Linked DNA regions of Arabidopsis thaliana. The protein of the gene in region 4 interacts with the protein of the main gene of each other region in a pairwise test. Each region holds a gene or a part of one and is shown on either strand. Other genes may lie near its edges.

Evidence for each region.
Region 1: the proteins of ATBET12 (region 4) and DiT1 interact in a protein complementation assay, tested with the Arabidopsis thaliana proteins (one large-scale study listed by BioGRID).
Region 2: the proteins of ATBET12 (region 4) and BCB interact in a protein complementation assay, tested with the Arabidopsis thaliana proteins (one large-scale study listed by BioGRID).
Region 3: the proteins of ATBET12 (region 4) and AT2G25890 interact in a protein complementation assay, tested with the Arabidopsis thaliana proteins (one large-scale study listed by BioGRID).

Annotation. Positions count from the first base shown.
Region 1 is NC_003076.8:4,057,461-4,066,573, reverse strand, and holds DiT1 (dicarboxylate transporter 1), read left to right. Parts: upstream 1-4,284; 5' UTR 4,285-4,654; coding exon 4,655-5,743; intron 5,744-5,972; coding exon 5,973-6,194; intron 6,195-6,284; coding exon 6,285-6,647; 3' UTR 6,648-6,723; coding exon of another isoform or gene 6,724-6,724; 3' UTR 6,725-6,995; downstream 6,996-9,113. Other genes in the region: MYB46 (myb domain protein 46), read left to right, coding at 1,635-1,915, 3,074-3,635; AT5G12850 (CCCH-type zinc finger protein with ARM repeat domain-containing protein), read right to left, coding at 7,386-9,113. UniProt on the Arabidopsis thaliana protein: 2-oxoglutarate/malate translocator involved with DIT2-1 in primary ammonia assimilation and in the re-assimilation of ammonia generated by the photorespiratory pathway.
Region 2 is NC_003076.8:6,822,537-6,830,235, reverse strand, and holds BCB (blue-copper-binding protein), read right to left. Parts: upstream 3,872-7,699; 5' UTR 3,611-3,871; coding exon 3,439-3,610; intron 3,247-3,438; coding exon 2,828-3,246; 3' UTR 2,488-2,827; downstream 1-2,487. Other genes in the region: PI (K-box region and MADS-box transcription factor family protein), read right to left, coding at 779-1,033; AT5G20220 (zinc knuckle (CCHC-type) family protein), read right to left, coding at 4,465-4,865, 5,126-5,228, 5,328-5,420, 5,506-5,638, 5,717-5,805, 5,890-6,052. UniProt on the Arabidopsis thaliana protein: Probably acts as an electron carrier.
Region 3 is NC_003071.7:11,034,041-11,041,239, reverse strand, and holds AT2G25890 (Oleosin family protein), read right to left. Parts: upstream 3,938-7,199; 5' UTR 3,881-3,937; coding exon 3,356-3,880; 3' UTR 3,061-3,355; downstream 1-3,060. Other genes in the region: AUR2 (ataurora2), read left to right, coding at 4,230-4,442, 4,888-4,995, 5,086-5,232, 5,329-5,424, 5,506-5,601, 5,694-5,790, 5,879-5,996, 6,092-6,164 and 1 more; AT2G25870 (haloacid dehalogenase-like hydrolase family protein), read right to left, coding at 6,938-7,105.
Region 4 is NC_003075.7:8,306,484-8,315,148, forward strand, and holds ATBET12 (Target SNARE coiled-coil domain protein), read left to right. Parts: upstream 1-3,835; 5' UTR 3,836-3,998; coding exon 3,999-4,012; intron 4,013-4,315; coding exon 4,316-4,466; intron 4,467-4,931; coding exon 4,932-4,988; intron 4,989-5,076; coding exon 5,077-5,136; intron 5,137-5,236; coding exon 5,237-5,322; intron 5,323-5,430; coding exon 5,431-5,455; 3' UTR 5,456-5,901; downstream 5,902-8,665. Other genes in the region: HCD1 (3-hydroxyacyl-CoA dehydratase 1), read right to left, coding at 463-1,179; AT4G14450 (uncharacterized protein), read left to right, coding at 3,036-3,413. UniProt on the Arabidopsis thaliana protein: Required for vesicular transport from the ER to the Golgi complex. Functions as a SNARE associated with ER-derived vesicles.

The DNA.
Region 1 (9,113 bases), on a different chromosome or scaffold from region 4:
TGTTTTTTGGTCCTTGGGCGATATTACGAAAAGTGAATTGTAAAGATATGTATAGATTGTGAGGAAAATGCGAGAATAACTGAGAGCTAGGGCTATGCATGAGATGATTGAAATATCATGAACCAAATGGTTAGATGAGAGCTTGGAGTGAGAGGTGACACTTGTTTGAGATGGGGAATAGCGGATTAATGTGCTTGCATGACCTTGGTTCTGAATTTTCGATTGATGAAATCTTGCATTTCGTTATTTTCAAACTTTGTCCACGAGTTTTACATAACTAGGTTCATTCAAGTTACAACTTAAATTGGTTAGCTGACGTCTTTTTTCATGCATATACAAGAGGTTGCATTTGCAAGCTTCAAAAGAGATTACACCAAAAACAATTTCCCCTAAAGGTTAAGATATATCTTTGGCCTTCAATTCGACATTAGGAATTATGTTCAAGATTCAAGATTCAGTACTATTCTAACTTCTTTTGTACTTTATCTATGGATGTCTTGTTTATGATTGTATAAAAAGTTTTGTTTTTTCGGATGGGTGGGCTATTAATATTATAAATCATATAATATGAGTGTTCTGTAAAAAAATAAAAATGATATGAGTGTAAATCGAGAACTTAAAAAATCATGACACACGTTTATATATTAAAGAAAAAACGAATATAAAATATATGGATAAAAGGAGTATAACATTTTCTTCATTACAATAATTAGATTTCTTCAAGTATACGTGTTGGTGCGCGAGAGGTGGTTGTGTGAAGCCGAAGCAAAACTTCTTGCTCGCTAAGCCTCATATAACACAAAAAAAGGGTTCTGTGACACACGTCGATTTATTTTATACAATTGAAATATGCTTACATACGTATACAATTAATTAAATAACACAACATTTGCTTACCTTGAAAATGAAGACATCTTTGAATAGAAATAGACATGCTCATGAATATATATATTAATGTTATATACTATCATATATCAATGTTATATATCATATATATACACACGTAAGGTTAACGAATTAGATATGTCTGTAATGTATACCTTGTGAATGAAGAAACTAATAGAAATGAGTTATATATTCAAAAAGAACAAGAAAAGAAGAAAATAAAATTAAGAACAAGTGAAGAGCACTTCTCCTTTTTTTCTTTGATGTTTTGCATATCGGGTCTTTTTCAAAACCGTTTTCGTCCATGACCGATCAACTAACGTTTCTTCATTTCGTCAAATTAGTTATATACAAAACATACATTTGTTGTTGGTGTATTTTATTTTATTTACCTTACACAATATATGCCGACAAAAAAAATGTGTTTAATTTGAAAAAGAGCCAGGGTTCGGATGTTTTTCTTTTATGTTTTAAAACAAAGCAACACTATATTATAAATATAATATATACAATAAAAATATAATTAAGGAATAGAGATTAAAAAGGAAGAAGTGCAAATGGTTTTTCTTCCCAGAATTGTAAGCAAACCATACAACCATCCCTTTCTCATCATCATCATTCTCCCTTCATCAAGTCTTCTCTCTTTTCTCTCTCTATTATAAAACAAACTTCACTCGTTCACATCAATGGATCCTTGAGAAAGACAAACAAATTGAAGAGAAATAATAACAATTAACTCAACCAAAAATATGAGGAAGCCAGAGGTAGCCATTGCAGCTAGTACTCACCAAGTAAAGAAGATGAAGAAGGGACTTTGGTCTCCTGAGGAAGACTCAAAGCTGATGCAATACATGTTAAGCAATGGACAAGGATGTTGGAGTGATGTTGCGAAAAACGCAGGACTTCAAAGATGTGGCAAAAGCTGCCGTCTTCGTTGGATCAACTATCTTCGTCCTGACCTCAAGCGTGGCGCTTTCTCTCCTCAAGAAGAGGATCTCATCATTCGCTTTCATTCCATCCTCGGCAACAGGTTTACATTTTTACCATCATTTTGGTTTTGACATAATAACAACAACTAAGAGATAGAATAAAATATGGAAACTAGTGGCCGGAAGATAAATATAAATGTTCTGGCAAACTAGCTTTTGTCTGGTGAGTCTTGTTTTTAAACTTGTGTAGCTTAATTTGTTTTCGGTTAATGGGTACAAAGTTAAAGCATAGAAAAGCCAGTCAACTGATTTTAAAAAAAAAGTCCACCCTAAAACGACCAAATTGTCAAATTAGATCTTGATAACGTTTTCACCATATTTTATTTGATTTTTTTTTTCTACCAAATAAATAAGAAGTGCAGAGCTATCTATTTAGAGGTATAATATCTATGTTTGTTTTAAGGACGAGTTTTCAATTATACTATTACATTAATCAGTAAAAAGTAATACTATATATATAAGATACGTTAACATCGTAAAATGTATAATCAAACTTACGTGGAAGGATAAAGTTTGGTCGAGTTTTCATTGGTACGATTAGTAACTGTTTAAATTCAAAGGGAAGAATGATTGTGTACGAAGAAAATTGACCCAAAAGAAAGTTGAATTAGAATAATAGTAGTAAGAATGGAAATAGACGCATAAAACCAAAATAGGTATGAGTACATTCACATGTAATTATGTGAGTGGTCAAAGTTCGTTGATCGTGGGTTTTAAGACTTAGAGTGCGTCTTATGATCTTATCTAACAACAAACACTTATTTTAGTGAAAGCGGCTTTTGTCACTTTACACACCTTTTCTTCTCTTCCTTAGGGTTTTACTTCAACTTTCATCTTTGTAATTATATATTTATTAGTTCCTTTTTTTGTCACTTTCTCCAGAAATATACGTTCTAGTGTTTTTTACGCAGGACATGTTTCCTCTCTATTTATATATATATATATATATATATATATATATATATATATATATATAGATTCAATTCAAAACACGCAGTGTGTATAATGTCATTTTATTGCTTAATATGATTGTGCAATTTTATAATTGTTGATATATTGCCTCTTTTTCACGTACTCAAACATAAAAAACATGAAGAACGGATCACTCTCTAATTCCCATGCAAACCATGCACTGGTATACATTTTACATAACATCATCTCATTAAACTATTCTACTCTCTTATTCTTCGATTTCATAGGTGGTCTCAGATTGCAGCACGATTGCCTGGTCGGACCGATAACGAGATCAAGAATTTCTGGAACTCAACAATAAAGAAAAGGCTAAAGAAGATGTCCGATACCTCCAACTTAATCAACAACTCATCCTCATCACCCAACACAGCAAGCGATTCCTCTTCTAATTCCGCATCTTCTTTGGATATTAAAGACATTATAGGAAGCTTCATGTCCTTACAAGAACAAGGCTTCGTCAACCCTTCCTTGACCCACATACAAACCAACAATCCATTTCCAACGGGAAACATGATCAGCCACCCGTGCAATGACGATTTTACCCCTTATGTAGATGGTATCTATGGAGTAAACGCAGGGGTACAAGGGGAACTCTACTTCCCACCTTTGGAATGTGAAGAAGGTGATTGGTACAATGCAAATATAAACAACCACTTAGACGAGTTGAACACTAATGGATCCGGAAACGCACCTGAGGGTATGAGACCAGTGGAAGAATTTTGGGACCTTGACCAGTTGATGAACACTGAGGTTCCTTCGTTTTACTTCAACTTCAAACAAAGCATATGAATATTTTTACGTCATCTTATTCTTTTTTCTATTGCGGTTTATACTCAAGATTCTTAGCCACACACACATAAATGCAAATATATATACATTGTTAGAGAGTATTTTGTATTTCGAATAATCTTTTCGTACTAGGGCTTGAGCCTTGAGGTGCCATGTAATGATTAGTCAATGTAAAACATATATCCTATAATAAATAAATAAAAGAAATAATAAGCACATACATTCTTTAATATAACAGGGGCAAACACTTGAAGAATTTTGTAATCAAGTAGCAATGGAGAAGATTGAACTAATTAAATGAAAGTTTTTCTGATGTTATATCTTTGGATAAAACTGAACATTTTGTTTTATTGAATGTACTTTAAAACATTTGGTAACTTTCTTAGACATTCACATTAGAAAGTATCCTCTTACATAAAAGAATCATGTATTCAATATTTGATGTCACACCTTACTCTAAACAAACAAATCAAAACTATGAACCATATAACACTCAAAGAAAAAAAAACGAGAGGCCGCTTAAGGGTTTACACTAGATTTAATTCCAAGCGAAGCCATCTCGGCCCATCTTGGACAATGTAATGAAAGCTACTATTCTATTGCCAGTTAATCTTTCATTGGACGATCCACTAGTAAACGCATAGTTTAAGATCTTTCAAAACCAAAAAACAAAGCTAATAAATCAATAGAAAATTTGTTGAGTGAAGGATTTTGCTTTGTATGTTTCGTCGATCTAAAAAGACCAAACCCAAACCCAAAATGGCTTTTCGTAAATATTTCAGCCAATAGGATGAGGTGACTGACCCACCAAAGACGGAGATCTCTATTTCTCACCTCACGATCTCATCTCATCATCACTCTCTCTCACTCTTGTCCGTATATTCCTTTTCTTAATCTCACCGTCCGATTCCAATCCAACGGTCAACATTTATCCAACTCTCTCTTTCCTCTTCTTACTCATTTCCTTCTTCACTTCCCTCTCCTCTTCACACCTCTCTCTCGCCGACGACGCTACAACCATGGCGTCTCTCGCTCTCTCCGGCTCCTGCTCTCTCGCTTTCCCTCTCAAATCTCGATCTCTCTCTCTCCCTCGTCCTCCTTCTTCCTCTCTCAATTTGACGAAACCTCTCCGATCTCTCGATTCTCGCTTCTCCTTACTCAAATCTCCACTTCCCGTCTCTTTACGCCGGAGATCATCAACTCTCGTTAAAGCCTCTTCCACCGTCGCTTCAGCTTCCTCTTCTCCAACTCCTCCTTTGGTTCCAGCTCCGGTTCCATGGCAAGGAGCTGCCATTAAGCCTCTTCTCGCTTCGATCGCTACTGGTTTGATTCTATGGTTCGTTCCAGTCCCCGAAGGTGTCACTCGCAACGCGTGGCAATTACTCGCGATCTTCCTCGCCACCATCGTCGGGATCATCACTCAGCCGCTTCCTCTCGGTGCTGTTGCTCTAATGGGATTAGGAGCTTCCGTTCTCACCAAAACCCTAACGTTCGCCGCCGCGTTCTCCGCTTTCGGAGATCCAATCCCGTGGCTCATCGCTCTTGCCTTCTTCTTCGCTCGCGGTTTCATCAAAACCGGTCTCGGTAACCGTGTAGCTTACCAGTTCGTTAGACTCTTCGGTAGCTCCTCCCTTGGTCTCGGTTACAGTCTCGTCTTCAGTGAAGCTCTTTTAGCTCCGGCGATTCCTTCTGTCTCGGCTCGTGCCGGTGGAATCTTTCTCCCGTTGGTGAAATCTCTCTGTGTTGCTTGTGGGAGTAACGTTGGGGATGGAACAGAGCACCGTCTTGGCTCGTGGTTGATGCTTACTTGTTTCCAGACTTCTGTGATCTCTTCTTCTATGTTCTTGACGGCTATGGCTGCGAATCCTTTGAGTGCTAATTTGGCGTTTAACACGATTAAGCAGACGATTGGATGGACTGATTGGGCTAAAGCTGCGATTGTACCAGGACTTGTGTCTTTGATTGTTGTTCCGTTTCTTTTGTATCTCATCTATCCTCCTACGGTGAAGAGCAGTCCTGATGCTCCTAAGCTGGCTCAGGAAAAGCTTGACAAGATGGGACCTATGTCTAAGAACGAATTGATTATGGCTGCCACTTTATTCCTCACGGTAAGTGTGCTTCTGCTTCATCGGATCTGTTCTTACTTATGGTGAGAGCTTGATTTGAAAGGTGCTTCAGTATTGAACATTGAGAGATTTTAGCTATTGTAGCTCCTTAGATTAAGCTAGGGCTTTGCTTCTGTTTAATGCATTTGCTTTGAGTGAAAATGTTTGTGGTTTTGGTGTTTTATTACAGAGAAGGTTTTCCTTTTCTAAAAAAGTGTTCTCCTTGACACAGGTTGGTCTCTGGATCTTTGGAGCTAAGTTGGGTGTAGATGCTGTGACTGCAGCCATTCTTGGATTATCAGTCCTTCTTGTGACAGGTGTTGTGACATGGAAAGAGTGCTTAGCTGAGTCGGTCGCATGGGACACACTCACCTGGTTCGCTGCTCTCATTGCGATGGCTGGTTATCTTAACAAATATGGTCTCATTGAGTGGTTCAGCCAGACCGTAGTCAAGGTTTGTTAAATGATTTGATGAATGCTTAATAAGCCTAATGACTTAGCATGCTAATGAAATGTTTTGACATTGTTTGGGTTTTGATTGCAGTTTGTGGGAGGATTGGGTTTGTCATGGCAGCTATCTTTTGGAATCCTCGTCCTCTTGTATTTCTACACTCACTACTTCTTTGCTAGTGGAGCTGCCCACATTGGTGCTATGTTCACTGCCTTTTTATCGGTTTCAACCGCTCTAGGCACTCCACCTTACTTTGCAGCCTTGGTTCTTGCGTTCCTTTCCAACCTGATGGGAGGATTGACCCATTATGGTATCGGGTCTGCGCCTATCTTCTACGGAGCTAACTACGTGCCGCTGGCTAAATGGTGGGGCTATGGATTCCTGATTTCAATAGTCAACATTCTCATCTGGCTTGGTGTAGGTGGTGCCTGGTGGAAGTTCATTGGCTTGTGGTGAGGACCACCATACACCAATCTTCCCATTCTTTTCCTTACTTATATATATAATCTCTTAGAACGGCTTTGAGATTCAGATTTGAGAAGGATTGAAATCAGGGTTATAAGGATTGAGCAGAGTTTTTCTGCAATTTTTATTCTCACTCACACACATTTTGAAGTGTAAGCAATCTTAACTTGCGTCAATTTTGTTTGATTTCTAACTTTACTGTTTCAAAGTGAGACCACCACTTTACTTGATAGTTACTCGACTTCCATAAACGTGTTAGTTGAGAGATTAATGTCTATTAGTCTATGAATCGCTGGTTAAAGTTTAGTGGAAAAAACAGGAAAGCAGAGAAAGCAATAGGAAATGAATGAATCTTATTAGCTGAAACAATATGTTATTATTTCTCATACAGTGTTCTTTGACAAATATGAAGGAGATATTAGAAACAATTGACAAACTGAGAGGATACAAAAAATGTAAATCAGAAATCCGGGAAGTAATAGAGGCGCACTTTGGCCATTGTTACAACAGAGATGATACAATAATTAATTTAATGAGGTGATAAAAATAAGAAAGTAAAGAAATTTCAGAAAGAAGCCTGAAAAAACTGAGCCTTTTAGGGTTATTAGAATCGAAAAAAGCTTACCCGGAGTTTGCTTTTGTTTCCGTTTGCTTTCTTGAATAATAAATAAACGAATCATCAGTTTCACAGCTTCACAGAAATGTGAACCTCTCTCTCGCAGCTGAGGCTCAGCGATCTAGGTGCAGCTGTTCAAGCCACGCATCAAGAATGTCGCTCTCACGAGTGTCACTGTTGTGAGGATTCACACTCGAACCACCTTGAGTCAATGGCCTTGCACCATTCATGTTCACAACACGGTTTCCGTTCCTAGGTGATGAAGAGTCTTTTAACATCTGCTGAGCCCATGAAACATCTGCTTCCCTGTTTGGGTTATTAGCCAAGGAATGAGATTTTCTCAACCGACCTAACTCATCTGATTGGACTGACCAATCCACCTTGCTTCCATGGGTCTGGTCCCAACTTGACCATGGACTTAATGGCGAACCAGAATCAGTCGGCATTAAATCACGGGGCAGACTAGATCCAAAATCACGGGAGCTTAGGCTGCGTGAATGTAGCTGCTGTTTCATTCGAGCATTCATTGGGGAAATAGGCTCTCCGCCTCGGGGTGACGAGGCTTGCTGCAGAAGAGAATGTTGCTCCACATTCTTTGGAGAAGACATTAGATTTGTCTTGATAGGAGAAAGCATGCTCTGCTTATTATTCTGCAGCTGATTAAGAAGCGCGGACTTGTGGGAAGGCGATAGAACAGATGAAACAGCAAGTTGATCAGAGAAACGAGGAGATGCAACCTCAGCTGAGAAGAGTTCCTCCAGATTTGAAGGGTTCAGTGTCTTAGGACGAGCGGAATGATTCATAAAGCGTGGACTGTGCATATCGCCAGCAAGCTGACGTTGCATTTCAAACTCATGCAGCATGCTAAGCTGCTCAGAAGGAATATCTCTAGCGTTAAGAGAAGATCTCAGACGACTCAACTGGATATTGCTTCCAGGAAGATTCAACGCCGGTATGTTCTGCTGAGGCCAACCCATCGATGAATGGGGCATACTACCATTTCCAGAAGGAGATATTGGTGGGGTGAACGAATGTTGAGCAGCAGATGGTGAGCCTGGTAACATGTTCAAAACTGACGCCATGTCCATAGTAGAGGCGGAAACAGCAGACGAAGCCCGAGGAGATGGCAATCCAGATCCTGTGGAAGGGTACAAGGGACGCAACTCCTCATTTGCGTGAGCAAAGAAGCAAACCCTTCGGTTGCAACCCATTCCGTCCTTGCACAATCGTGTTCTGTACTGAGCAGGGTGTAGCCAGCATTCAAAAACCCCATGAGCATATTCACACATATCACCTTGCTTACAGGATCCTTTCTTAAAATCCGGGCATGGAACACACGTATAGTGAAACTTCCTCGGGTCTCTTCTCCTTGCATTCTCACCTGGGTGTGCAAATGGACATTCAGTCCAGTCATGGGAATATGCTCGAGAACATGGGCGGATCTTGAACGAGAACATACGAAACTCATCGGTTGAATAAATCCCGCTTTTGATATCAGGCAATGATGGATCAATTGGGTACTCTTTCTTCTCTGATGCGAAAGTTACATCAGTACCGTGTGGCTTAGTCGGAGAGGATACTGAATCTAAGGAGAGTAACGAGGAACCATTATCAGGGGATGATGAGAGAGACCGGAAACTTGATCCCAAGCTAGATGACGAGGCATGCAGATCTTCAGATATAATCTCGTCTTTCTTCAAGATCTCTTCAAGGATGGTTCTCAAACCAGGAGCGTGTGGAGACACAACAAGAACATCAACAGGACGATTTCCATGAGCATCAGGGATATTAGGATCTGCTCCTACACTCAAAAGCAACTTGACAACATCCAAGGAATTCAC
Region 2 (7,699 bases), on a different chromosome or scaffold from region 4:
TAAAAGCATACACAGATATACATGCACAAATACTACTAGGCAGTGACTTAAATGGTATAAAAGCCTCTGTATGCTTATTACCCTATAGAGATATATCTCATTTGTGAGAACTAAACCTACATTTGTCAGAGCTAATTAATAATACATATAATATTTGCATCAAAATTTAATTTAAAAAGGATACTCAAAACTCAAAAGCAATTTTCAAGTTTTCAATTAGTTTTGAAAGCCAGAAACGTAAAATCAGTGTACTAATCAGAAATTCTCATTCCCAGATACATATCACATCCCAGATTTTTCTCTCAATTAATAACTCCATAAACTACGGATCTGATTCGCATAAGATTTGGTCTTGATGGTTTCAAAACACAGTTGGTTAGATATACTCTAGATTATACAAATTAAGCAGGAACAAAAGAAAAGAATAACTTCCATGTTTTGTGGCTCCATGTCTTGTTGAGTACAAGAAAATCAATAAAGACGCATGTTAGGCTACATACACAAAGAAACCTTTGTAGATCTGCATCTAGGGTTAGAGTATTTTTCTTTCTCTTTGACATATTTTAGGAAAAGAAAATTAAATAACCAATTTCATGATATCTAGCTCAGAATATATGTTTTTGAGACAAAACACTATAGTAGATCTGCATCTAGGGTTAAAGATTCAAGGGTCTTTTGACATGTTTTTGGTAAAGAAATTGAAAACTTATTACATGATTTTGGCCATGGAATATTTTTGAGACAAAGAAACTTTAGATTAAAAAGAGAGCAAAATTACCTCATGCTTAGCATCCCATAGTTTCTTGCCAGATAACTTCTGGTATTGGTCCAACATAGCACCAAGATCCATGGAAGGACAACAGTAATCAATCATCTTACCATTACTTGCAAAGATTATGAGGGCAACTTTTGCATCACAAAGAACTGTGATCTCTTTAGCCTTCTTCACCAATCCATTCCTCCTCTTTGAGAACGTCACCACTCTGTTGTTTGCGTTCTCTATCCTCTTTATCTCGATCTTTCCTCTACCCATCTTTCTCTCTCTATCTCTTTCTCAATTTTAGGGTTTGCTATGAAATTGTTAAGATATGGAGGAGAGGATATGTGGTTTATATGAAGAACAAGAAGAGGAGCATTGGTTTTAAAGTAACATTGATGAGATAGAGAGAGAAATGTTTTGATTAATCTTGAGGTGAAGAGAGACTTTGACAGTTTGGGATTGAAAACAAAGCTACTTTCTTGAGGGCACAGTCATGGAAGGCTTGCTTTTGGTTCGCTTATTACACATAGCCAACTCTATTTTCTCTCCTTTTTTTACAGTACCAAGAAGATAAAAAAAAAACTTGAAGTAACGTAATAAAATAAAGTAAAAACAAACTTAGTGATTTTGCTTAATGAACACTCTTTGCATGTGATTGATGTTTATTTTCTTTCATTTGATTTGATCATCTCAGTCTCTCTCGTGATAGGTTAAAGTGTCGTTTAATTAACCTCTGGTCTCTTCCGTACTATGTTTTCTTCAATGAACTGTGTAGAGAAAACAAATTCTAGATATCTGGAAAGATAAAATTCTTCATATGAAATGTGGTCAAACTTTTATTTAGCTTACTCGTGTATGTATATAATTAATTAAATTTAAATTTGAGAGGCAAACATGATAATACCATAATTTCTTATCCAACCACATATATCATCAATTAATTACTTTGGGAAACTATCTTATTATGTCATCAATTATATAAAACGTGAAATAAGATAGTGTCCCAATGATTTTGCAACTAAATCATTTTGCAAATAAATTTCCCATTTTGTCTATCTCGAAAACTAACCATTAAATCAAATGAAAGCAACGAGTTTTGCAACTTTGTAGATTTAAAACCAAAAATCTCTGTAAAGAATTGCTTTTATTTTTACAGGTTCTTACTTTGGCAAAACCAAGACTTGCTATTTCAAGAACTCTATGTCATATATAGGTCTTATCGAATATCGTAGCTACACTAAAAAATCAAACATATTAAATTATTGAAAGTTGAAGATATCACATTGACAAATGAAGTAAATAAAATAAAGTTAAATTCAGATGGTTTAGAAAAAGGAAAAAAAAAAAAGAAAAAGGAGCAGTGTAATTACCAAAGACCTTGGTATAACCATTAGACTTTATCATGCTTACATTGTTATGGGGAAAATGTCTTTGGTTGTTGAAAACAAAACAAGTTTATGGTTTTCTTGATTCACGTCGATCAGACACGTGTCAATTTATTGTGGAATTTTGTGGTCTTATGTTTTGTACTTAGTACGGGCATACTTTTTGGCATTTTCTCGATTATCAAACTATAAAGCCAGAGATTAAAAATCTCCACACACAAAAAAAAAAAAAAAAAAAAAAAAAAGTTGTGAATTCAGGTGAGAAACGTATCCACTGAAACAAAAATACCATATTGTTGGTATATTGAATTAGTAGATAACCTATGTCTTTTTAATATTATTCTAACTTCGGTTCACAATCAGGTAATGTTTACTCGTTGATTGAAAATATTGAGAAGGCAAATTTTGTCTAATTATACATGAAAACTAGACAAATTGGATGAAGAAGATGACTAATTTTCATGAAATATGGTAATATATAGTAGTAATCTCAATGATATTGAAACCCACTCTTTATTTTGCAACCGAATAATCATATATTGAAACTCAATACTAATCACAAGTATAAGACGTTTATAATGACTTGAAAACAAGTCCTTATTCTCACAAATAATCAAATACATGACTATTTAAATAAGGAGAGTAAGGTAAAACAAATACATAACTAGGTTTCGAGTGTGACTCAAAAGAGAGCAACAACAGCAGAAACAAAAGCGACCAGAAAAGTAGCACCACCTAATGAGGAAGCGGCATTTCCAGCTGGAGTAGTGGTTCCGCTAGAGCCTGAAGGTGTTGTGGTCCCACCCGCAGTGGGAGGAGTGGTTCCTCCAGTACTTGGGGTTGATCCAGGTGCTGGGGTAGCACCGGCACCAGGAGTAGCACCTCCAGTTGCACCAGCAGCAACTACAGTGATGGAAAGTTTTTGACCAAAACGACAATGGTCACCGACGGTGCAGATAAAGTATTGTGGTCCAGTGGTGTTTAGCATAATTTTGACCGGAGGAACGGTCATGTGGCTAATGGGTTTCTCTTTCTCACAGTTTTCAAATGCAGCTTCTGATACAACTGCCACATCATGCCTCCCAGCAGCGAAATCAAATTCTGTAATAAGAATATCAACATCAGTCGGTGGAAACTCAATTAATCCCTTTTTTAGCTAAAATATGTTCATAAGAATATAGAAAGAAAGACAGAACAACACCGACATGATCCATGCACGATCCCATAACTATGACTGTTATAAGAACAAGAAAAACAAAGACATATTTCAGCTATAAGAACAATAAAACTCACCGAGCTCGTCGCCTACACGGAAAGTTTTACCGGTAGCCCAAGTAGTATAGAACTCGGGGTCCATAGGTCTCGTCCATTCCGTATCATCACCAACATCGTAGTCCTCCGCGAAGACAACAACGGCAGCGAAAACCAAAACAAGAAACGTAACCGTTTTGAAAACTCCGGCCATTATGTTATGTGTTGAAGAACTCAGGTCACCCCCTTTTCTTTTCTTGGTCGAGAACTATATATGTCGTCTCTTAAAAGATAGTAAATGACCCCTTTTGATTTTTGTGTTTGTTGTGGTTTCAAAAGTCTTGCAAGAGAGACTTATATTTATAGGACAATTAAAGAGAGGCTCTCAAGGAGTCATACGCAAGATACGGGAAGACGCGTTACGTGTTGTGTCGTTGAACAAATCCAAATTTAGATATTATCACTTGTGGTCAATTTTGTCTGCTAAGTTTTTTTTGTCCACAATTGTTATTTTTAGCGCGTAAAGACATTGTACATTTGTAAATTTAGATCAAGTAAAAAACGTGACTAATTACTTTTTGGGTAATGATTATAAAATTTAGTGTTCAGACTAAATATAACTACCTAATAATAACCATCCGATATTAAGGCATCGAAGAATAGTAGCATACTAATGTTAGAAAAAACAAAGTGTTAAATGTGGATATGGATGAGATATTAGGTGTTTATAGCATTTATATGGATAAGTCGATAATTGTTCAGAAATTTCTAGGCTCGATTGTCTTTCTTTGCATGGGTCCGTTGTACCAATTCAGGTCGTATTCAAGAAAAATCAACCCAACAAGTATATATACTTGCACGTAAACGAATGCGGTCATAACCCGAAACCAAAAGCGGTCAAACTCACTTCAGTTTTTGTTTGAGTTTAGATAGTTCAAAAAAGACCAATCGGGACTCAAGTGATTGGTCCGATTATAAACCCGAAATATCCATCCGCTAAAAAGGACTTGTCAGTGATTGGTTATTTCAGCTTCAATAGCAAAACCAAGCCTAACCAAATAAACAGGTTCAAGAACCTTCTTGCTCTAAACAAGAATCACTGTCTGAAACTTGTTTACTTGGACAGGTTCTTACATTATGTCCCATTTTCTTGCAGAACCCACAAGCATACGTTATTTTACCAACACCATCTTCCCCGGAATTTTCACCACTGCAACTAGGATTCACTCCGGTCGGCTTCCGGCATGTTCTGCTGTTGTGACCTCTCTCACCGCATATTCCACATTTGTGATACCTAGTGGAAATGCCTTTAGTGACTATTGATTTCGACTTAGGACAAGTTCTACGGTTGTGGCCTTTCCCGCCGCAACCCCGACATCTAAATTTTCTGTCCGCATTAGTGCCTAGTTCTGGACAGTAATGGCGTCTATGGCCTTCCTGTCCACAGTTCTTGCAGTAAAACTTAGTTCCTGAATCAATGAGAGAAAAATGGTTCTTTTACCATTTCATAGCTTGCACATGGAACTGTCACCACAAAAGGAAATCAAATCGAAACCTACATTTCTACACTTCGAATCAACATTATATCTCAACTTTAAGTGACAAGCCTCAACCTAATTCATCACAGTGATCTCACATTATTGGAGAATGTAAACAGATAAAGCTCAAGAAACAAAAGAGTACTACATGGACCTAAACTCTGAAATTCTACCAAGAAACTGAGACTTACCTTTCATAGATAGGCTTCTCTGTTCACGGTTTACAGGGTTACTGAAGAAAGCTTTCATAGATTCGGATGCATGCTTTCTAGCAGCTGGTGTTCCTTTAGCTTTCTAGAACACAACAACACTAAGCAGATTCAAGGGAAAAAAACAACAAAACTTGTTCCATGTTAATTTAGGATATAAAACAAAATGGAGTAGATTACAGACCTTAATTGCAGCTACTCTTTGAGCATGAAGCACTGGATCACGATGTATAATCTTCATGCGCTTACTAAAAAGTCCAGTTTTGGCATTGAGACTCTATAAAAACCATAATTTGGACTGACTATGACAATTTCCCATGGAGAGAGTAGAATAACATGAAGTGTATATGAATGAAACTAACTTTTAGAGATCGGCTGATCTTTTGTCCAACTTCAGGAGTTGGTGACTGATAAATCCGCTTCGATTTTCGCCTTTTACTGAACTTTATCTCTAAATTATCAACCTCATCATCCTCCTTTACTCTAAATGGAGAACTGTGGCAGAAAAAAATGAGGTTTATTAGTCAAACATTAAACAGAATTAAGACTTCAACTCTTGAATAACAACACTACCTGGATCTAGCTTTCTCCCAAGGTCGTTCATCGATTGATTCTTCCCATATGACACAATCCCCCAAACATCTGAGACAAGTCATTATGCCCTACACAAATTTAAGCAAAGTTTCTATAACAAGGAAAGACTTTTGTTACTCAAAAGTTTAAAGTAATTTAATACTTTTAAGTACCTTTCCTTTGCATTGAGGGCAGTCTAATCGCGACCTCTCGATTCCGCAATTTGAACATGAAGTATAACCTCTTCCCCTACAAGTTGGACAAGGAAGCTCTCGAATGTACTGACCGTTAGGACCAAACCATGACCTTGGTTCACGCGAATCACCAGATATGAACCTGAATAAACCATCACCAAAAGCACATTTTTGAAGCTTAGCCAAATTGTGGATCATGTATTTTACCAACTATCAAGTACACCGACTTGACCAAGTAACAATATGTATTCCTTACTTTTTTAAGATTTTCTTTTTCTTTTTAGGAAATTATTAAGAGTTTTTTTTTTCCTCAAACTTCAAAGAGTTTCCATTTTGGCATTTTTTTTTTTTTCCTATTAGTAGAGTGCTTTGCTTTTACGTTTTAGTATAAATAAAGATAGGGTCTCGATTATGAGACTCATACAAGCTAGAGAGAGCTTTGAGTTTTATACGTTTTGGGTTTCTTTGAGTCTTGCAATAAAGAGAGCTTTTCGTGGGGTTCTGTGTGACCGTGATTGTTAACTACCTGCAAATAAGAACTTGAGGAATGACTACCAGTAGGATTGAGTCACGTTTGATCGCGATAGAAAAGTACCACAAGGCCTTGCATGAAGAATTTATTGGGTTTCATAAGAGACAGAAAGAGATCCAGGATGCTATTTTGGAGTTTACAAGGATGGTTTCGGCTTCAAAATCGTCGCATTCTAAACAAGAATCTGCAACTGTCCTTGAGGAGGACATTGAGATGCCAAGTTTTGATGGAGACCATCTCTTCATATGGCTAGAAATCATTGAAGTTTACTTTACTTTGCAACTCGCTCCAGAGGTTTGCAAGGTAGACACTGCATTCAGGAGTATGGAAGGTGATGCTCTACTCTGGTTACAATGTCTACGACAAGAGAACCCGACTTTAACATGGTCTCAACTAAAAACTGAGCTTATAGAAGAATTTGGAGGAGGAGATATTACGGCCTCTCCTGAAGAACAATTGGCATCACTTCGACAAACAGGATCCGTAGATGAGTACGCTAATGAATTCCGTGCTCGGGCAGCTCAAATAGGTAATAAGGACCAACTTGTAAAAGGCATGTTTCTTAATGGACTTAAAGAAGAAATCCGGGTGATGTTCCGACCAAACGATGCTGAAGGACCAGAGATGGCTATACGCACCGCAAAAGCAATCGAGAGAGAGTTGAATTTTAACAACCGAGCAAAGGGTAGACGCCAATATTCGTCGCACCAAGAATATTTTGACATGGAAGGAACAGGCCTTTGTTATCCCGGCTATCAGCCGTACTCCATCTTTGATGACTTCTGAGGATAAGGCAATCATGGATGGAGAGATACGTGCTATGTAAGAAGAATAGACTACACTACCACAGGAGCAAGCCTTGAGGACAAGACTTTACTTTGGGAGGCTGGAATGTTATGTTTTTTTCTTATTTTTATTTAGGATTTTCTATTTCTTGAATTTATGAAGGATTGTTTAATGCTTCCACTATTCTATTTTCAAGATTACTTCTACATCCATGCTTGTCTTTTACGTTTTAGTTTACTTATGCATCCATGCTTGGTTTTTCTATTTTTTTTTATGAAAGATTGTTTAGGACTTCCACTTGTCTGATCCTAACTCAAATAAGACATTGCAGGCAGATGCCAAAATTATCATACTCTTGCTTTTATAAAAGAATGAGAAAACTAGTGATTGTTTTCATTAAGAAGCTTCATAGTTGTTTTGAGTTTAGAGCTGTTTCATGAAATTGATCGTGAATTCAGTATAAAAGAGGTT
Region 3 (7,199 bases), on a different chromosome or scaffold from region 4:
ATTTAAATATTTAAAATAGTGAATTTGTAAAATGAATTTTGTATTTTTTTAAAATAAATTTATTTTAGTTACTATTTTACCAAATAAATTGATTTTTTAGCATAAATAATATTTATAAAAAATATTAAATAATAATAAAAATAATTGTGATTTTTTTGTACCAATCAGACTTTAACAGTTAAAGTTTCTATCGTCAAAATTTTTACAACCAAAATTTTTACAGTCAAAGTCGTAACATCCGAAATATTTAGAGTTCAAAAGTAACAGCCGTTACCAATCAGCCCCAACATCTACTTTATTACGCTTTCCGTTTTAAATTAATTGTCAGAACATTAAAAAAATAATTAGAATAAATATCAATTTACATTTTTAAAAGCTAATTTTGACTACAAACAAAATTAAAGTTTTATTTGCAGTGATTTATGTTTTAACCAATAAGAAATTTTGTAAAGTAAAAAATAAAACAAATTATTAATATGTGTGTCAAAACCTAAAACAACATTTTTGGAGTATCACTAACCAAAAGTTATATAGTCACATAAAACATAGGGATACATTAATTGAAGAAATTAAGATACACATTAAAAATTGAAAAAAAAAAAATTTCTATCATAACTCAAAGTTTATCACCAAAAATTGTGTTAATTATTCCGTAGCTGTTATTTGTTTATAAAGATTTAGATCATTTTGACCAGACTGTAACTATTAGATCATTTTGAAGAATCGTAGAATCATACTATTTTATTTGCAATTATATGAATTAGTCCACACTAATATTAAGGGTCTAGCGATATGAAACATAAGACATTACAGTAAGAAAATATTTGGACGGTACAGTATATATTACTTGTCACGTGACTTTCAAGGTCGTAGACTACTCCCCATGACCTGACAAGAGTGAATAAATTTGGTTATTGTCCCCCATTTTTTCTAGATCATGGAAGGATGCAACGTACGTAGCTTTTATGAAATAAATTTCGAACATTAATTTTAACTTTTGGCTCTCCAGCTGATGGGAGTAAATTGACATGCTCCAAAGAAAGAAACACAAGTCACCTAGTGATTTTCAAGAAAATGTGCTTCCTTCAAAATATCCGAGGTCTAAGATGAAATAGTTTTAAAAATTGTTATGCGGGGCATATATTATTAGAGTGTTGTGCACTTGTAACCTTCCAGAAAATAAGCAATTTGGACGATATTTTAAGGTTTGGTCCATGTTCCAGTATCGTGTTAGGGTCCACTGCTTCGAGATCTACTTGATTGATACTCTTCCATTTGTTTTCTAATTGTTTGATGCAAAGGTTATCCATTAAGGGAAACTTATCTATATCACGTGGAATACTCACTGCAAAAGATTCGCAATATTAGACTTATAATTGTCACTAATCAGACCATTAAACAAATATCAAATTGATTAATATGTTGAATTTAATAATCCAATTTGACCTCTTTCAGATAGGGCTTTGGGGACAAATCTTCTTAAATCGCACCAAACTTTTATTATAAGATAATTTTTGGTTCGTGGCTATTAAATTAAGCCTGAAAATTTAAACATATGTTTCACTTACAAGCGTCAAGTATGGATAAACAATGATTAATCATAAGCTATCATAATGACAAAAAGAAGTATGATCGTTATCAGTTCTCTTATGCATAAACTATTGATAAAATTATAATAGTCACGAGATGATTGATCGAGCACGATAACTATTATAATAGTCACGAGAGAATGATGTGAAAGTTTAAGAATGCGTCTAAACCAACAATAAAATAATTTAAATAGTTATAATTGAATACACATTCTATATTAGTAAACATTCAAATTATTTAAAATATCTACGAGACACAATAGCCTCCCAACAACCATTCGTACATTCACTTTCTCATTAGAAAGAAAACGTATCCTAATTTGTTGTTTTCTCTATGAATGTTAATATCATCTAATAAGTCCATATAGACTATATCTAATAAATCCATATAGACTATTGTCTCTGAATATCAATGGATTTGAATCTTTGGCCAAAAAATTAAACAAAGAGACAAATGATGTAGAAGTCACATTACATAGTGGGAGTTAAAATTAACCAGAGTTTGCATTAGGTTGCAATAACGCTTGCATTTACGTCTTGCGGTGCTTACGTTCTGAATCTCTTTGTCGATGAGCTTGAAGATAGTTGATATTGGGATCGAGACTTGGTTGTGAACCACATCATTCCTTTGCTTCCACATATATCCTAACATTTATCTAAACAATCTGGTGCTAGAAGAAAGAGATTATCAAACTGATGCAATGACAAACTACGAAACACCACTCCATAACAAAAAAACTTAACCGTATATCGATCCTCAACTTTAGGAATAATCCTAACGCCGCACCCACCCGGCACCTGGCACCCACCACTTGAAAAATTCATAGCTCATGGCCAGTAGGGAACCGCGGAGGAAACTTACTCAGTCCATTGCGAGGATAAGGACAAAAGTACTCCTTCAATTATTCTAGAAAACCAATCAGACGTTGACAAAGAACCTCGTTTGAAAGTACAACTGCTCTACAAGACTGCATTGCCCACTACAAGCAGTGAATGTTGTCCACCCTCAGCTTCTTTATACGTTCGTGAAGCATGCATGTGCATTTTGTTGGTGCGCGCATAGTAAGCCATGCCATGCAATTCAATGCCAATGGTTTACGAACATATAGACAAGTAAAGTTTTCAATTATTTCATGAGTACCTAAAAACCACATTCATAGAACAGTTTGCAAGTATTCGAAATTTGGGAAAACATGCATACGACCTCACCGCATCTCTCAAAGGCCGAATACAATTTTTGAGGAATGATTAAACAAAGAAATATTTTTACAATCACACTAACTACAATACGTTCATGAAGACAACGTAAATGACACGAGCCATTTAGCGCAGCCTTCGAAATTTATTTAGCGAGTATAGATAAAGTGGTTCAAGCCTTGGTATTGATACACAAAATTCACAAACCTTGCAATTTTCTTTTTGAACATAAAAACAACAATATTATTTCAAATCAAACGGACCACACTCAAAACTACATTTACATATACCAAGAAAGCCACCATATAATTCTAGAAGCCAGACGGTGACCAAGTAATTGGCATTTATTAATTTACTTAATTCGTTATCATCTTTCCTTACACTAGCTATTTCACAATCATAAAACAGAAAATACCGATCAGCAATTAAACACACAAAAAATTGTATGGAAAATAGAAAATAAAATTTTAGATAGATCTTTTCAAAAAGGTAAGAACAGTATTAAAAAAACATACGTAGGATAATCATAAAACTTAATACAACATATAGATCCATATAATTATTAAACTCTAATGAGTAGTTGTTGTGGTTTGGTGTGTTTGTTGTGGCTGCGAGTGCGTATAATGTCCCAACTCTTTGGCTTTCTCCGCTATCCTCATCCTCGCGTAATCCACCTTATCCGCTCCCATCGGGTGTTTTCCGGTAACGTACTTATAAATCCACGTTAACGCCGTAGCTGCTGCCACCCCACAACCACCGGAGAATAGGAATCCCATCGTCAAAAGCCCTATCGTTATCACTGCCGGTACCAACACCGGGCTGAACAGAACCATCAACGGCGTCGCTACGATCAAACCGATCACCGTTCCGGTTAGTGTTAGTCCTGAGAGCACGAGGAGTGATAGGCCGATCGTAGCTGCCGTTACGAATCTCACTATCTGCCGAGTCGATGGTGATGATTCATGGAGACTCCTCATTATTGGTTGTTGTTGTTGCTGATGTTGTTGATGATCCGCCATTTCTTTTTTTCTTTTTCTAAGAGAGTATGGATTTAATGTTCTATGTTGTTTTTGTAGCTTTAATAAGCTTACCATTTGTGATTATTATGAAGAATGAAAATAGACTAGTATGAAGGAGAGGCTAAACTTAAACGAGACATGTGTCGAACGACGAGGCGTGTTAGGCAATGGAGAAGAGTGTCACGCGGGCGTGTCAGTTCTGCATGGAGCTACTTTGACGAGGTACTGACACGTGGTTACTTAGTTCCGAATTAAAATCTCATCGTCAAACGATCTTGAAGCTTATTGGGCTATTATCTGGGCTTGTAGTGACTGTATATTATCCTAGTGATTATGAAGTTGGAATACCGTGGGCTTAATAATATCTGGGCCTGTAGCGACTGTATCATCTCGGGAGACAAATTATTTGAAAATAAAAACCTCGATGCAGATGTATCAACACGTGGCAGCATCTGGATTCGACCGTTGCTGCTTTGCTGGTGGTTTACGTTTTTTCCCCTTTTTAAATTTCTCAATTTGGATCTGTTCCCTTTGTGAAAATTACTCTCTCTTCTCTCTTTCTTTCTTCTCTTTCTCTCGCTATCTTGGCTCATCAACGATCTCTTCCATGGGGATTTCTACAGAGACGCAGCAAATTGTAAGAAAATAACTTGTTCTTGGTTTCACAAATTCCAATTTCATTTGGTTCTTTTGTCGAATTTGTTTCAATTTAGGGTTTTACTTCCTTGTTGGTTTGCGTTTTTTCTCTGCGTTTGGTCTGTTCTAATGGAATGTGATCTGGGATTATCGATTTGGTTGCTTGATTTTCTTTGCGCCAGAAAGAATCTTGTTTCAATGTTCTCTGTTTAATTTGAGAAAGACTTGTTGGTATGATTTTGAGAAATTTCATGATATGATTGTGGATTTATTCGTTTACAGCGAGGACCCTAGATTAATTGACAAATCCGTGGATTAGTGTTAAGGAGCTGTTGATTTTATCCTTTTATCTTCAAGTTTTAAAGTATCAATGATTGTTTGTCGTTTATGATTAAGTGTATCTGAGAGTTGATTGGATTTCAATCTTTGTGATAATGTTGTATCAGGCGGCTTCAGAGGCTGCACAAAAGAGATGGACTACAAGCGATTTCGATATCGGAAAGCCACTTGGTAGAGGAAAGTTTGGCCATGTTTATCTAGCAAGAGAGAAACGGGTTAGTGTTTCTTCACAATTATGTTAAACAAGCAGAATTAATTTGATGTCTTTTTTAACCAAGCTGTCTTCTATGTGTCTTTGCAAACAGAGCGATCACATTGTGGCTTTAAAGGTTCTTTTTAAGGCTCAGCTTCAACAATCTCAAGTTGAACACCAGTTACGAAGGGAAGTAGAGATTCAATCTCATCTTCGGCATCCCAATATTCTGCGGCTCTACGGTTACTTCTATGATCAGGTTTTGTGTTATCTGTGCTTGTAAAAGAACTTCTTGTTGACATACAATGTTTGGCTCTGTGAGGTTAACATAGTTTTTGGGATACCGTTGTTGCAGAAAAGAGTTTATTTGATTTTGGAGTATGCTGTAAGGGGTGAGCTTTATAAAGAGCTTCAGAAGTGCAAGTACTTCAGCGAACGTCGAGCAGCAACTGTAAGTCCTAGTGATAATTGAACTTATTCTAGCATGTTAATGTGAATCTGTGTAGTCATACCCTTACGTTTATTGTGGCAGTATGTTGCGTCATTGGCTAGAGCCCTCATCTATTGCCATGGAAAGCATGTAATTCACAGAGATATAAAACCTGAAAATCTGTTGATTGGTGCTCAGGTAACAAATTGAATCTGGTTATCTTTCTCCATCAACGCCATGTGATTGCAGTTAGCTTATGTGTTTATGTATTCATGGATATATGTTTTCAGGGTGAGCTCAAGATTGCAGATTTTGGATGGTCAGTACACACATTCAACCGTAGAAGGACTATGTGTGGCACTTTGGATTACCTTCCACCTGAGATGGGTAAGAGAAAGCTCTCTCTCTCTTGTGTGATTCTAAATTACTTTCTTCGGCAACCAGCTAATTGACTTTTCTGCTTTTGGATTCACAGTGGAAAGCGTTGAACATGATGCGAGTGTCGATATATGGAGTCTAGGAATTCTCTGCTACGAATTTCTTTATGGTGTTCCTCCTTTTGAGGCCAGGGAGCATTCAGAGACATACAAAAGGTAACATGTTCATTAAGCGTAGAATGGGATTAGTATATGATGTTTGGTCAGTGGAATGTACATTAAAGAAGGGTTTTGTTCGACAAATGATACAGGATTGTTCAAGTGGATCTCAAGTTCCCTCCCAAACCCATTGTGTCATCATCTGCAAAGGACCTGATTAGCCAGGTTTCTACTCGCATTCCTCGTAAATCTCTCTAAGTGTTTGTGCATTTGAAGAGTGAATTCTGATTTTCACACTTTCTGATCAAACAGATGTTGGTTAAGGAGTCTACGCAACGTTTGGCCTTGCACAAGCTTCTTGAACACCCGTGGATTGTGCAAAACGCAGACCCATCAGGCCTTTACAGAGGATGAAGCGATGAAGCTAGGAAAAGATTTAAGATTGCATTCTTGGCACTTTGCACCACTTACTGCAAAAAGTCTGACCATTTCATAGTTCTATATATGTAATTGCTGTGTTCCAAAAGTATTTGTACTACATTTTTCTACGAAGTTTATATAGCCACAAGATTCGTGTAACTTTACTCCAATTATTTTCGAATCCTACATCACTTTTTAAATAAAAATTGTTCGGAATGGTTTCAAACTTACAACAGCTTTTGTTCATCGGTAACTTATTCACCAATTGATTGGTTAACGTTAACTGATGTTACTGCAGGTAACCAAATGAGATGGATTTGTTCACAAGAGATCCGGAACATTTTTTATGTTGTAAGATGCAAAGGTGCAAAGGCAAACGAATGAAAGATTAACCGAACATGAACAAAACAACAAGAGACGCACTCTGCAATCAATCATTTTCCTTCAAAAGGTGGGTGAATGAGACAAGAATGACCAATGTTTGTCTTTTATCTGTAAGACAAAGAAGAAGAATAATGCCTACTTAACCTCAAAAATTTAATTTGGTGTATCTTGTACTTAAATATGGTGGTGGAGTCTCAGAATGCGTAGCGGTAGATGGCATCAGCAACACCATCTTGGTCGTTGCTCACACCAATCACATCAGCCACCGCCTTTGTTTTTTCTGCACCGTTGCTCAGAGCAACTCCCAACGAGGCCAGTTGCAGCATCTCTATGTCATTTTCTCCATCTCCAATCGCCATTATCTGATAAGAAAATCCGGGTTGCTTCATCAACTATCTTATTTTTTGTTTGACTTCTATACTTATGCCTACTTGAGTTTCTTTACAACGCCGTCAA
Region 4 (8,665 bases):
TATTTTTGTGTAACACTTCCTCTCTCTATATACAATGTTGTCTTTTGGATTAATTCCCCACACCATATAAGGTTTCTCGTGGGTTGTCTAATTCGGTTGAGTTTGGTTGATCAGACTGCACCCGTTTCTCATTCTATCTTATGGCGATATATACGATTATGGTCATATGACGTAATTTGGATATTATAAATAGATGCATGATGTGACATATATTGCTGATGCTAGTACGATTATCAAGTATGAATTACAAATATTCTAGCTAATATAACTTATCAATAGTTGTATTGATATGGTTATTAATATTGTTAAAATTTCAACTAAATGAAAAATAAAAAGACGTAGGTTAGATTAATTATGTTTTATTGGTGAGAAACAAATACGTGCTTAGTGAAATGGACGTTGACTTTTGTCGGCAATATTCATATTTCAACCATTTTTCTCCCAACAAGACAATGAGAGTTTCTAGAGGTTGTGAGTGGCCAAGTTATTTGCCGTTAAATCAACCATCCGACAAAGCTCCGGATACAAACTCTTCCTAATGGTTGCATACACCTCACCATTCCATTTCTTAGCGGCCAAACTTTCTCCAAGGCTCACTGTAGCCTCCACCACACCTTCCGCACTATCATGCGCCGCTGAGTCCACGATCCCGAGAGCCACCGCTTCTTCTCCTTTGAGCTTCTTCCCGCTCAGTAACAGCTCCCTTCTCGCGATACCTGACCCAACCTTAGCCACGACCAACGCCGAGAAGTAGTCCGGCACCGGTAGCCCGATGTCCACCTCGCTCATATATAGAACCCCACGGTCTTTCCTCATGAAAACGTAGTCGTGGCTCAGCGCAAACATCAGCCCCGAGGCTGCCGCGTGGCCGTTCAAGGCGGCGATCGTCGGCATTGGAAGATCGAGGAGGGCGGCTAACACCGGTTTAAAGGATTTGACCATTTGGTGCATCCGTTTTATAGCACCGTGTCCAGCGGATTGAGCCCACGCGAGGTCAAAGCCATTGGAGAAGAACTTTCCGTGACCGGTAGTGATGAGGACGGATCCTTTTGTGGATTGAGACTTTGCTTGTTCAAGAAGCGAGAGAACAGAGGCGATCGTGTCGGGGTGGAATCTGTGCTCGTCTTCGCCGGTTAGGGTTAGGAGAAAGAGATCGCCGCGCTTCTCTAACGTACACATGGTGCGTACGTTAAGGACTTACTGATTTAGGATGGTACAAGAATAAGGAAAGAGTTAGTAGAAAACTGTGATATAGAAGTGAGTGTTGAGTAATTAATAGAAGGGAACCCAACTGTATATTTATTAGACGTGCTTTGCCACCGAAGTCTTTAAATTGGGTAATCTTCCCAACCATTTTGGTGTCAATGTTATTAAATGCAGACGAGACAAATGTGTATGAATGAATGTGTGACTTTCTTGCTGAAAATGATAATTGTAACTGTTTGTCCTTGGACGTAATTACCATTTTGTTCTTTCGCAGCTATTGGCTAAATCAATTTTGGTTTCCTTGTCTCCACTTGATTAATATTAACAACCTTTTTTTAGTGCTTACACACTTACAACTGTTCGTATGATTTTTTAGATATCTTGTCATGGCTTTTGAATCTATGAACTTTATTTTTGAAGCATGATTGATTGAGATCTCTGCTTTAGCATTACTCATGGACACATTCCATAAGAGACCGACATGAGTAGTTAAATTAGTTCACTAACTCTTTAAGTTGTGCAAACAACATTAGTTAGGTTAATATTAGTCCGCCAACTCTTTAATTTATTAAATACACAAGCTACATAGAAAAGAACAGTGTCTTTAGATCCATACTTGACCAGCCGGTCTAACCGATAAAACTGTTAACTAGACATATAACAATCATTATTTTACAAGATCCTATAATTCAAATACATATTCAAATATTTATTTAATATGCAAAGATTTTTATTTTATACCGAATAAATACTAAGATTTATCTTGTTTATTGACTTTTATTTTTAAAAAATTTTATACCGTATTTATGTCCGATCAGAGCCGTCCATGAACGCAATAGGACCAAATTTATGCTTGCGGCCTCAATTACTACAAATAAAATATTGACCTAATTTTTTTATAACTTTCAGTAAAAACGTTGATTATTTGATTCTTAGATACCTATGGTCGTCAAAAGTTTGAGTCCATCTACCTTCATTTACCTTGTTATTTTTTCATTTTCACTCATTAAAATAGGTCTAAATTTTGTTCTTTGCTTGCAATCTATTAAATACTAGAGACGGCTCTGTGTTCGATTAATGACACCACGATGGGACTTATAATACAAATCAGTATACTCATATATTACAAGATCATGTTAACTTTCTTACTATTTATATTTTGGTTAGCAACATGCAATATGCGGGTTTGAATAAGGCCATAAGGGTGATGACACACTGACAACACTAACACAAACCATTGGATTACATTTTTTTGTTCGTGTAGAAGTTAATCAGGCGGCTAGTTGACTTGACTTGGCCTGAAAAATGCAAAAACCTCACATATTTAAGCACATCGTGACATGGTCCGATTTTTGCTTTCTTTTGTTTTGTGGCTTAGATTGTAAAGCTCTGTCCGCACTAGACTCAACTTACATATTCATATTCATATTCACCTCTGGTCCATATATATTATAAAAGTCCAATAGAACATGTTCACGAGAATCTGTATAGGTAAACCTCATCCACCATTTAACATTTCATGAACATGTTTGACTTCCATTAACAAGATCGATGTCTTTGTAATTTAATATTAAAAAGAACTTTAACATAAAAACAAGCATGGAAAATTCAAAAAGAATTGGTCAAAGAGTATTGCCAAAACAAAAATGTAAAGAAACGGGAAAAGGGAAGATAAAGCAGCTAATTTTCTTTCTCCAACTCTGACCAATGACCATATCCAAGCGTGTATGTAATGTACCTAGTCAACATGTTACAAGTCGTGGCCCTCCTCACCTTATTATATATGTCATCTACATAAACATCAGACATCACACACCAACATCATTATTATGTTCTTTGATACAAAAGTACTCAATTATCCTACAATTCACAAATCTATCTCCATGGCGTCCACGATGCAAAGAACAAGCAGCTCCGCGGCCAGTAACGAGAGGCAACTTAGCCAGCTACAGAGACGAGCTCCGTCTTTAATGATCAAACCAACGTCTTTTAGTAACTGGAACGTGGCGATCCCTCTCCTTTCACCGCTCGCTCCTTCTCTAACATCATCCTTCGACCAATCACATGTTCCTCCGCCGCAGAACAAGACTGAGATACCAGTGGAAGAAGAGGTGAAGAAGACACCAGTTTTCAAGAAATGGCAACATCCCGCGTCGCCGTTCTGCTACGAGCCAACAACGTTTGTCCCACCGTTCATCCAGGTTTAGAACGGTTCATCAAAATTTTGTAGATTTGATGACTCAGCTACCAGCCCCGTGTGAATTTTGTTCCTGTGATATTACACGCGGTTAACTATTTTTCACGTTTTTGTATCAGTTTTATCCTCTAAGAGATAATATTATTCACTAACAAAGTATTAATTCAAGTTCTAAATGGGTAAAAAAAAATGCATAAAACACATGAAACAAAATTATGGGAAAAACATGGAGAAAATAGTTGCATGAATTCTTTAAATAAATTGTCAAATTAACCCATCATACATCTAGGGTTGGACTTTTCTTTAAAGTTCATTTCTTCAAAGTGTTCACTTTTAACAAATAAAAAAACTAACTTCATGGATTCAATATGGGCCGAACTAAAGCCCAGTAAGCCCAATTCAATTTAATTCTATTTTCTTCTTCTTCTTCTAGGGACTTGTAGTACAGTAAGAACTTTCGTACGTTTCTCGCAAACAAAACACGAAAACTTACGCTTCTGGAATTGAATCCAAATCGAGAATTTCCTTTACAATGCTCTAAATTCGTCTGTTATGTTGAATCCTTCGTAAGAGAGTAGAATCGAAGACGAATCAAATGAACTTTCGAAGGTTTGATCTATTGATCTCTTCCTCTGCATTCGAATCCTGTTTTTATGTAGATTCATCAATGTTTAACAAATGATATTGATTCTGCTCTCGATCGAATTTGATCTAGATCTCTTCACAATCTCCAGATTCACTCTTTCTGAAATCTTAGTTTTTTGAATCACCGACATTCGAATTCCTGATTCTGAGTCATTGACCTAATTCTAGAGTTCTAATTACAGTTTTCCAGATTTTGAATTGAGTGTATCCAACTAGAATTGGAGAAAATTGGATCTGATTAAGAACCAATGGTTTTGATTTCTGTAGGGAGAATCGTGCTTCGAGAACGTCTCTCTTTGATGGCCTTGATGGACTTGAAGAAGGTCGCTTGAGAGCTTCTTCTTCGTATGCTCATGACGAACGTGATAATGATGAAGCTTTGGAAAATCTTCAGGACAGAGTTTCGTTTCTCAAGAGAGTATGTTTCTTTCATCTATATAACTAAAGAATCAAAATATCAACACAAGCATAAACATTAGGATTAAGAATTGTGATTCTTTATTGTGAAATGGATGGTGCTACTGATCCTTATTGTTTGAGAAAGAACAGTCCCTTAAGCACTGCTAAGTCGAGACCCTAAATGTATCTTTCGAGCATCGAACGATGATCTAATGCTTTCGAAAAGTCTAGATATAAAGAAATTGAACTTAGTTTTTAGTTCCTAGATATGTATTGAAATTGTAGATTAAGAACATTCTCTCCAGCATTGCTATCACTAGACCCTGTATAAGTCTTTCGGACTCAACGACAAGGATCGAGCTATGATGTAATGCCTTAGAAAAGTCTAGTTATGAAAACAATGCCTTTTTTGTTTTCACTCTTGTCAAATCTAGTTTGCAATAACGCTTGCCTGAGATGTAAGTTGGTAATAATATCTTATCAGGTGACTGGAGACATACATGAAGAAGTTGAGAATCATAACCGCTTGCTTGACAAAGTGGTAAGCTGAAAGTTTGATTTCATCTGTTTCAGTTTGTAGATCTCTATCACATGCTTTTCTTCTAAGCTATTTGTTGTTGTATCTCTAGGGGAACAAAATGGACTCCGCGAGGGGGATAATGTCGGGAACGATCAACCGCTTCAAGTTGGTATGTAAATAAGATTTCGTACCTTTTATATATGCATCACCCCTTTTGTTTTTCGCTATCAAAACTTATATCTGAATAAAACTCGATTTTAACACGACAGGTCTTTGAGAAGAAGTCTAATCGAAAAAGTTGCAAACTCATAGCTTATTTTGTGCTCCTGTTCTTGATCATGTATTACCTTATTAGGTAAAATACACTTCTTCTTATAGTTATCAAAACACTTGACTTTTCTTAGGGACTGGTTCAAGTCCTTGTTCTTTGACTCGAACACTGACAATCTTTCGGATTTTGCAGGCTATTAAACTACATCAAAGGGTAAATTTGGATACAAGAAGAAAGTAGAGTGTTAAATGAATAGTTTCGTTTGGGACTTCCATTTTTGGATTTCTCCTGATGAATGAATGATTCAGACATAGTAAACAAGTCAAGGGACCCTATTGAAACCCTATTGAAACCCTATTGAAACAAGACAAAGAAAGAGATTGTGAAGAGACTAGTGAACCAACCGAAAGAAAAAATGTTTGATAGAGACTTGTTTGTCACAAGCAAAATCATCTCATGTCATTTCATGTAATGTAGCAAAAGCTTCTTTATCATTTGTCAACTATTTGATCTTGGGTTCATGTTAGCAGTTTTGTCTACAAAAAGCTTAATTGATTGATTGATAAGCTTAATTATTAGCTTTCTGTGAAAAAAAGTTTAGCACTTTGTAATAAAAACAAGATAACTTGGCGTCTTGTTTCCAAAAATTTCCAATTTTCAGAATTTTAAGGCGCAAATACCGTCCTGTATATTGACATTTTGCTAAAGATCCAAATACGTAACAACATGAGAAATATCATTTTTGAACGACTCGCAACAATTCCACAAGTTGACAGGACACTACTATGCAGAAGAGTTTGATTTTTTTTCCACTTTAGGTAACAAGTTGACAATAATCGACAAGTTCATTTTTGGTTTGGTAATAGACAACAAGTTGACATGTACATTTCCAAATGGTTCGGTTTCTAGGTCAAATCATCTTAACAATTATGTAAACTATAGTCTTAAATGTTGAATTTACGAGTGAATAACAGGTTGCTATGCTAAATAGTAAATTTCTTGAAACTACTGTTTAGATAAATAGTCAAATAACCATGAGTTTTAATATAGCTACTAGAGGATAACATTTGAGTTCTGGCACAATATATAGAAAAAAAGTAAAAAAAAAAAAATGTTACCTTATTAAATCGGGAGTAGTTTTTCAATTTCTTCTGATCTTTTAGTATATGCTAAAATACCATGTTAGTAAATATGAATGTGATTTTTGTAAAATAAATATATTATAACACAACAACAGATGTTATGCTACATATATTAAACAGGGTGCTAGATTATAAACAAAAGTGTTTTGGATTCACATGAAAAATATGTGTAATTATTTGAAGAAGTTAGATATATAGATCATTCAAAAAATAGTAAGCTACATGGTTATCTAATATACTGTTGGTAGTGAATCCATCAACCTAATCGTGACATATATACAATGTACAATCGAAATCGTTTCTAAGAAAGCCGACGAAATACTCAGCCTTTAGAAAGACTAGTATACGACATGTCCTACCACCCTAATTACTAAGAGAAAAAGATTCATGATGCTGCGGGAAATGACTTGCTTTCTTCAATTAACTCTTCATTCGAGCTTTGGTTGCTCTAGCTCACAAATTATCGTCGTAGTTAATTGAATATTTACAAGGAGCTGACTAAAAAATTAAATGTACATGCACATACATTGGAGCACGCCCACCATGGCTATGCTAAGCATGCTCTCTTAGCAGAAGTGACACCTCTCAGAAGCTATTGGGCCATAACAGAGTTATGACACGGGTCATATCCGTCAAAAGCACATTGCTTCTAGAATGCGAGGTATGATTGCTAAAAACACGATCGACAAGGAACTCAAGAACATCAACTTGCATATTGAACCTACATACATGCCGTATATAGGCATGTGCGAGGAGTATTAAGGATATAGGACTGGTTAACTTCGGTTATCACTGGTTTGGTTGAATGTGGTTTACTAACCACAATAATCTTATGTATATAAGTTTAATCTCGATTACTTTGTTAGTTAAGTTGGTTGTAACAACACTTTAAGCTGAATAAGAAAAGTTGTTATCTTCTTCTTCGTCTCTCTTCTCCGATCTTGAATCTCCGATGTATCGGATTTTATCATGGTATCAGAGCACAATATATTGATTCCGCGTTTGTTGTGTTCATCGGGAGAGAGTTTCATTTTCGATTTCTTCTTTTGATTCTTTCGTTCGCTTATGCCATTCGTTATTTTTCCGATTCACCGGAGTATTTTTCATTCTGTTTCTTTTACTTCCTTCAATTGACCTTTAGCGTGAGCGAATCTCGTTTTCTATACATCAAATTCGTCTCGCTTTCTTTGTAATTTTTCATTCTTACTCTGAGAATGGGATCTTATGTACCTCCACCTGCGAATCCGGTGACTCGTCCTCCGATCAACAATGGTGATCAAATTCGATATCCAGTAGATCAATATGAGAATCCGTACTATCTTCATAGTGCAGATCACGCTGGATTGATTCTTGTGTCAGATCGACTTACGACAGCTTCAGATTTTCATTCATGGCGTCGATCGATCTTGATGGCTTTGAATGTCAGAAACAAATTGGGATTTATAAACGGTACGATTACTAAACCACCTGAGGATCATAGAGATTTTGGTGCTTGGTCTAGGTGTAATGATATTGTTAGTACTTGGTTGATGAACTCTGTTGATAAGAAGATAGGTCAGAGTTTACTTTACATAGCTACTGTTCAAGGAATTTGGAACAATCTGTTATCAAGATTCAAGCAAGATGATGCACCAAGGATCTTTGATATAGAACAGAAGTTAAGTAAAATAGAGCAGGGATCTATGGATATTTCAACATACTATACAGCTTTGTTAACTCTGTGGGAAGAACACAGAAATTATGTTGAGCTCCCAGTTTGTACATGTGGTCGTTGTGAGTGTGATGCTGCAGTTAAATGGGAACATTTACAACAGAGAAGTAGAGTGACTAAGTTTCTTAAGGAATTGAATGAAGGATTTGATCAAACAAGACGTCATATTTTGATGCTTAAACCTATACCTACTATTAAAGAAGCGTTCAATATGGTAACTCAAGATGAGAGACAAAGGAATGTCAAGCCACTTACTCGTGTTGATAGTGTTGCTTTTCAAAACACTTCTATGATAAATGAAGATGAAAATGCTTATGTTGCAGCATATAACACAGTTAGACCTAATCAGAAGCCGATATGTACTCACTGTGGGAAAGTGGGACATACAATTCAAAAATGTTATAAAGTCCATGGTTATCCACCGGGTATGAAGACAGGCAATACAGGATATACTTACAAGCCTAACCCTCAGCTACATGTGCAACCTAGGATGCCAATGATGCCTCAACCAAGGATGCAGTTTCCAGCTCAGCCTTATACTAATTCGATGCAGAAAGCGAATGTTGTGGCTCAA